Macaca mulatta: one gene and its partner. The protein of the gene in region 1 interacts with the protein of each later gene in a pairwise test. Links are inferred from orthologs where the notes say so. Each region holds a gene or a part of one and is shown in the gene's direction. Other genes may lie near its edges.

The links.
Region 2: the proteins of CIBAR1 (region 1) and CBY1 interact in binary tests that used the Homo sapiens proteins (3 or more experiments, as listed by UniProt). The two-hybrid records come from large-scale screens. The link is inferred for Macaca mulatta from reciprocal best matches to the Homo sapiens genes CIBAR1 and CBY1.

What each region holds. Positions count from the first base shown.
Region 1 is NC_133413.1:104,121,440-104,124,493, forward strand, and holds the end of CIBAR1 (CBY1-interacting BAR domain-containing protein 1), read left to right. Parts: coding exon 1-120; intron 121-2,056; exon of another isoform or gene 2,057-2,106; coding exon 2,107-2,199; 3' UTR 2,200-2,338; downstream 2,339-3,054. UniProt on the Homo sapiens protein: Plays a critical role in regulating mitochondrial ultrastructure and function by maintaining the integrity of mitochondrial morphology, particularly the organization of cristae.
Region 2 is NC_133415.1:12,868,615-12,873,114, reverse strand, and holds the start of CBY1 (protein chibby homolog 1), read left to right. Parts: upstream 1-1,622; 5' UTR 1,623-1,624; coding exon 1,625-1,739; intron 1,740-1,944; exon of another isoform or gene 1,945-2,584; intron 2,585-4,500. UniProt on the Homo sapiens protein: Inhibits the Wnt/Wingless pathway by binding to CTNNB1/beta-catenin and inhibiting beta-catenin-mediated transcriptional activation through competition with TCF/LEF transcription factors.

The sequences.
Region 1 (3,054 bases):
GTTTTCCGAAATTCTCTGTATGCACCAGATTATTCATCTCGTTTAGATATTGTACGAGCAAATTCAAAGTCACCTCTTCAGAGATCACTGTCAGCTAAGTGTGTATCTGGAACAGGACAGGTGAGCAAGAAACCATACTCTTAAAGGAATTTGAGCTGCTGCCTTTGGAATTGTTGAGTTCTAAAAATGTTTCCCCTCAGTCATACCACCTCAGGTAATTTACCTTCCCCTGGACCTATTTCCTCTTCTATAATGACAGAAGATTGCACTAAGTTGCAGCTCTGTTATTTCTTAAGTATCTTTTATACTGTAATTACATATTACTCTCTAAAACATAACACTTCAGAGCAGAAGTGGAAAAGACAGAAGAATGCTCATGCAGATGTGTTATCTTCTATAATATGAAGAGCATAGATTCTGAAGTCAAACTTAGGTTTAAATCTCACTATCAAGACTTAGTGGATCTGATTAAATTATAAAGTTAAATACCAAATTATACCAAAAAATGGCTTTTACTGAACACAAAAATCATTTTTGTCTACATCCAGAAAGCCTGAGTTTCCCAGTATCTAGAGCAGGGGCTGACAAACTTTTTCTGTAAGATGTGGAGACTAAGTATCTTAGGCTTTGTGGGCCATATGGTTTCTACCCCAACAACTATAAATAACAACTATAAGTAACACATAAAGCAGTATGACTGTGTTCTAATAAAATTCTATTTACAAAAGCAGGAGGCTGGCTGGGCCACAACTTGCCAAACCCTCATCTAGAGAGCTATGCCCTTTTCATATCTAGCTTTCAGAATATGCAACTCAACAAACTATTTTCAAAATACAACTTTTAGGTAAATTTCATACCTTCTATTTTCATTTGATTCTCCTCTAAGCATTTATTTTGTTTTATATGTATCTCTCCCCCAACCCAATTATATTTTTATTATTCCAGCATTAAGTGCTTTGAACATAAATTCTATAAATTTACTTTTATAGTCCATATAAAGTTTTGCCGGGCACAGTGGCTCACGCCTGCAATCCCAGCACTTTGGGAGGCCGAGGTGGCTGGATCACGAGGTCAGGAGATCGAGACAATCCTGGCTAACACAGTGAAACCCCATCTCTATTAAAAATGCAAAAAAAAAAAAATTAGCTGGGCATGATGACAGGCACCTGTAGTCCCAGCTACTCGGGAGGCTGAGGCGAGAGAAGGGCGTGAACCTGGGAGGCGGAGGTTGCAGTGAGCCGAGATTGGGCCACTGCACTCCAGCCTAAGCAACAGAGCGAGACTCCGTCTCAAAAAAAAAAAAAAAGGTTTTGACTACAACTAATAATGTTACCTTAGCTAACACTTGTATAGCACTTTAGAATGCATTATCCCAGGTTTCTCAACCTCAACACTGCTGACTTTGGGACAAATAATTGGGCCCACCAGGAAGGAAGAAGGGGATGGAATACTGTCCTGTATATTGTGACAATATTAGGCAGATATTAGCATCCCAGCCTCTACCCACAACATGCCAGCAGCACACATAAACACACAGCCCCAATAGTGACAAACAACAGTGTCTCTAGACATTCCCAAATGTCCTCTGGGTTAGATACAATCACTCTCAGAGAAGTTTTAAGCAACATGCCCTATGTGGCAGCAGTCAGGCAACTTAAAACTGGTGAGTTCAGATTCTCAACTCATTCCATTTAAATCACACTACTTTTACATCAGTATTTCTGTCCCACTGCCTAGCTGAAATATCCTTCTATTTTTGCCATCCATTTTATGATTCTCAAATGCTGTTTTTGTGACCCAAAATTTATTTTTAACATTCATAATATACTAAGTCTATACTTTTAAAGTAGTGTTTCTGAAGTATTGATGGCTATCCAACTAAAATCAAATGGCTAATTACACATTTTTATTCAAAAAATATCATGAATGAAAAAACTGGCCTCTGACCTTAAAATTCATAGGGAATTGTCACTACTAAAAATTATGACATGGACTTTTTTTTGAAATATTTGTTGTGTGCCCTTTAATAGCATAAAAAGATACCAAGCATGTAAAATTTTTTTAAGTTAGTATTTTTATTTTAAAAAGTGTGTTGACTTTTAACAGGTATCCACTTGTCGACTAAGAAAGGATCAACAAGCAGATGATGATGAGGATGAAGAGTTAGATGTTACAGAAGAAGAAAATTTTCTTAAGTAAACTACACATTTCCATTTTCATCATAAATGACATGGAATCCACAATGACTAAACTATAGAACTTTATACTCACTTTGATATGTTAAGCCTCAAAGTGAAGTCCAACTGGAAACAGAAAAATAATTAAAGGAAACTTATGCTGACCAAAAATGAAGGCTTTAAAAAATATTACATACCAGTCATTTCAACATCCTAACTAGTGTTAGGTGATTTTTGTGTAAGTACCTTTTTTTTCCAAAGATGGTGTATTTCAAAGTATTTCATATTAATGTACTATATCTACTTGAAGTTCCAATAGTACATTATGACAGAAACCAAAAGATCTAACAATTCTGCTTAGCTTTTTGGTTAAGACTCCATGCTTTCATTACCAGAAAAGGGTCCTATGTAGTCATTCTGATTACATGTAATTCTATTCCATGAAGCCTTAAGAAAAAATATTTTTTTTTTACTTTCCCTTAAAACTTTATCATTTGATAAGTAAATTTACTTTTCAAGAGTATAATCAAAGAATAAAGATAATGTGACACTAAGATATCAATGTGTTATGAATACACATAAGGCATACATTTCAGCTGTAAAAAAAAGCCACATTCAATCTGACTCTGGTTTTAAAACAAAACTGTCATACTTATACATGATACTGCAACTTTTGGAAGGCTAATTTAGTGGAATGTTGCCTCATCACAGAACACCATAAATCATTAAAAATTCTATAAAAATTTTGCCAAGCTACCATGCAGTTAATAAAAGGGTATACAATCACTTTTATTTCTGAAAATATAAAACAATTGGAGCCTTTCAGTGTCTCTGATGCTTCTCTTTTGGTAAGGAATTATACTTTTATTTCATGGAT
Region 2 (4,500 bases), on another chromosome or scaffold:
CAGCTACTTGGGAGGCTGAGGCAGAAGAATGGCATGAACCAGGGAGGCAGAGGTTGCACTGAGCCAAGATCGCGCCACTCCAGCCTGGGCGATAGAGCAAGACTCCGTCTCAAAAAAAAAAAAAAAAAAAGTAAAAATTTTTTAAAGCAATAAAAGAACGGCTACTCCATAGATAGAACAGCCAAGAGTAAAATTTTAATTTTAATTAATTCAAATTTTGGCTGGGTGCAGTGGCTTGCACCTGTAATACCAGCACTTTGGGAAGCTGAGTCAAGCAGATCACCTGAGGTCAGGAGTTCGAGACCAGCCTAGCCAACATGGTGAAACCCCCGTCTCTACTAAAAATACAAAAAATTAGCTGGGAGTGGTGGCGGGCGCCTGTAATCCCAGCTACTCGAGAGGTTAAGACAGCAGAATCGCTTGAACCCGAGAGACCGAGATTACGCCACTGCACCCCAGCCTGTACAACAGAGTGAAATTCCGTCTTAAAAATAAATAAATAAATAAATTTTGAAATGGAAGCAGTATAAATTTAGAAATACTGATTATATCTTGAAATAGTAATGTTTTAGACAAATGGAGTTAAAACATTACTCAAATTAATTTCACTTGGCTTTTTTTTTTTTAACTTTTAAAAAATGAGGCTACTAGAAAATTCCAAATCACATATGTGGCCTGCTTTATGTTTCTATTGTACAATGCTGAGCCAGACTGTGAAGATTTTAGTTCTAGGACATGGAAGTCTCCCCTCTTTTAATGCAGGGTGGTATAGTCGGAAGAGAACTGCGCTTGGAGCCAAAGACCCCTGGGTCCTGCCCTTCACTAGATGGATGCCTTGGTACACCCACTAGGCAGCCGGTAAACTCCTTGAACGACCTAAGTTTCTTCACTTATGAGATGGAACCAATAACACGCTGTTAGGACTCTAGGAGGCCTGGAGTTGATCGTCCAGTAGTTCTCTGTCCGTTGCTCACAGTGCGACTTTTAAGTAATCCCTGGGCCTCGGCTTCCCTTGCTTGTAGAAGCCGCCATAAGGGCATGGAGAGGGGGCAGACTGCCAGGGGTGGGTCATGGTGCGTCTGTCCGTCCATCTTACCTGAAAGCATCGGCGGAATTTGACGCACCCGGGGCCGGTCCCGCCACGGGTCCCTCAGTGGATCCCGCAAAGTTCTGGGTGGGCCCCCGACACTCGGTGCCCCAAACTCACAGCAAGGGGTGCCCTTTGCCTTGTGCTGAGGGAGGAGGAGGGGAGTTGGGGAGAGGCCCATTTTGCTACTCTGACTCCAGGCGTTCTCCAGGCAACGCCGGCGCGGTCACCACTTTCGCGTTTCCCATAACAATGGAAACGTCGTGAGCCGCCGCGTTGTCCGCTAGACGCCGTTTCCATGGTGACAGCCCCGCCGGGGGCCCAGACCAATGTGTCTGTGGGGAGGGTGAGTGCAGGTCGTGGTCCTAGCCTGTAATGGGAGGCACGAAAAGGACCCCGGAAGACACTGCCTTTGTATAATCCGTTTACTATCCCGAGGTGATTCACGGAGTTTCTGGGGATTCGCGCAGGCTGGCGCTGGGAACCCCCGCGCCGGTGCCCCCTTTCCTCGGTGGTAGAGGCCGGGCGGGGTGGCGCATGCGCGTGGCGGGCTGGCGGCAGGAGGCGGGTGGGTCAAGGTATATCTGTACTACAGAGTCCCTGATCGGGGGTTTCGGGGAGCGCTTGGACCCTGGCTTCTGGGACGCGTCAGGTACGTCTCCGAGTCCGGCGTCGCCGGCCAGCACGGCCTGGGTTCACGTGGGGGCCCGAGCTGGGTGGGACGCCCGGGCCTCGCCTGGAGAGAGGCGTCGGGAGGGCGCGGGGAAGGGGGCGGAGGCCTGGCGACCCCGGGCGGTGGCCGCCCTCCTCTGTGTGTCTCCGCAGTTGTGAATTGGGGCGGTAATTCCTCCCCGTAGGTCGCCGTGAAGGTGATTGCATGAGATCGTGCGTGTGAACGTTTGTTGACAGCTGTTACTTGAGTCCGACAGCCCTGGGGGCCGTGCACCTGCGTAACATGGCTAGCTCTGAACTCCTTGGGGGACACGTATACTTTTGAGAATCCGATGAAAGCCAAAGGTTCCTCCCTTGTTTTCTTAGAATTAAAGTAAGATAATATATTTCATGGCCTGTTGCAAACAGAAAACCTTTACACAATGATTAGTGATCAGTATCTGTGGATTAGGGAGGCCCCACTTACTTGATCCTCTTCCCAGGGTCGTTGTGAGGATCAAGTGCACAGCTTCTTATAAACACTAAAACACTATAACATCTTGTGAGCCAGGTACTATTATTATTCCTCATTGCAAAGAAAGAAGCCGAAGCCCAAGGAGGATAAATGCTGGGGTCGCACTGTGGGTGAGCAGCAGAGTGATCATTGGAAGCCAGGTGCTCCCCCTTCACTTCCTTTGTGCCGAGCACGCTCGCCCCCCGGAGTTTCACTAGAAAGAAGGTCGCCATCGGCCAAGGGAACAGCTTGTACCTCAAGTGCACGCGGATGCCCCAGAATCCCAGGATCTCAGCCGAGCTGTTTGTGGATTATTAGATCTGACTTAAAAGGTAGCTAATCCAGACCCTTCCTCATCTGTAATATATAGATGACAGTTCCCAGCTGTAGTGTTATGAGAATTAGTGCGGTCATGAGTGAAGTACCCCAGTTAAAGCCCGAGAAGTAAAGCAGCTGGACCAAGGTCTAGCAAGCAACTGAGGGGCAGAGTCAGGCCCGAAACCTGGTTGTGTCCAGCCCATGTGCTCAGGCCCAGTGCAATTAGCGTCAGTGGGGACTTGGCTTATTTCTCCTTCTTCAAATGTCTCTAGGTGCTATGAGTGCTGGGGGCTGCTTTTTTTTTTTTTTTTTGAGATGGAGTCTCGCTTTGTCGCCCAGGCTGGAGTGCAGTGGCGCAATCTCGGTTCACTGCAAGCTCCGCCTCCCGGGTTCACGCTATTCTCCTGCCTCAGCCTCCCGAGTAGCTGGGACTACAGGCACCCGCCACCGCACCCGGCTAATTTTTTGTATTTTTAGTAGAGACGGGGTTTCACCGTGTTAGCCAGGATGGTCTCAATCTCCTGACCTCGTGATCCGCCGGTCTCGGCCTCCCAAAGTGTTGGGATTACAGGCGTGAGCCACCGCGCCCGGTGGCGGGGGGCTGCTTTTTAACTGTGTTTTGTTTATTTTGTTCATAATACATGAATATATTCTCATTGTAATAATTCATTAAATCTCGAGTATATTTAATATAATTTTATATTGTACCATATGAAATTGTCACAATTTGACCTTTTTTTGATCTATAAAATGACAATTTCATTCAAGCCAGTCATCCTATTCCCTTTTTCAGGTTTAACCACTATGAGCAATTTGGTGTATCCTTCTAGATCTTTCTTTCTTTTCTTTTTTTTTTTCCTTTGAGATGGGGTCTTGCTCTGTCACCCAGGCTAGAGAGCAGTGGCGCGATCTTGGTTTACTGCAACCTCCACCTTCTTGGTTCAAGCGATTCTCCTGCCTCAGCCTTTCAAGTAGTTGGGATTACAGGTGTGAGCCACCGCGCCCAGCTTAGGCCTACAATTTTATTATAATAATGTGCCACAAATTATTTGGCTACACCCAAATTGTTTGGATTGTTTCTTATTTTTTACTGTTATCAACAATAGAGAACACGGGGTGTGAGCATGTCCAAGTCTTTCTAGAGTGTAATATTTTAGAAGTAGATTTGCTGTCCAAAAAGTGTACACATTTACAATTTTGCCAAGTTTTATTTGAGTGACCTTGAAAGAATTATAGCATCTTCTGATTCTACCAGTAATAACAGTGTCTTTTTCTTCACATCCTCATCAACCATGGGTATTATTCATCTTTTTAATTTTTGCCAATATGATGAATGAAAATGCATCTTTATAACGAATTTTTTTTTTTTTTTTTTTTTTGAGACAGAGTCTCGCTCTGTCACCCAGGCTGGAGTACAGTGGCCAGATCTCAGCTCACTACAAGCTCTGCCTCCCAGGTTTTACGCCACTCTCCTGCCTCAGCCTCCCAAATAGCTGGGACTACAGGCGCCCGCCACCTCGCCCGGCTAGTTTTTTGTATTTTTAGTAGAGACGGGGTTTCACCGTGTTAGCTAGGCTGGTCTCGATCTCCTGACCTCGTGATCCGCCCGTCTCGGCCTCCCAAAGTGCTGGGATTACAGGCTTGAGCCACCGTGCCTGGCCCGAATTTTTTTTTTGAGATGGAGTCTCACTCTGTCACCCAAGCTGGAGTGCAGTGTCATAATCTCAGCTCACTGCAACCTCTGGCTCCTGGGTGCAAGCAATCCTCCCACCTCTGCCTCCTGAGTAGCCCCTCCCGTGTGCCTCCACAGGCGCACACCACCACGCCCAGCTAATTTTTTGTATCTTTGGTAGAGACAGGGTTTTGTTTGCCATGTTGCCCAGGATGGTCTTGAACTCCTGGACTCAAGTGATCTGCCTGCCTCTGCCTC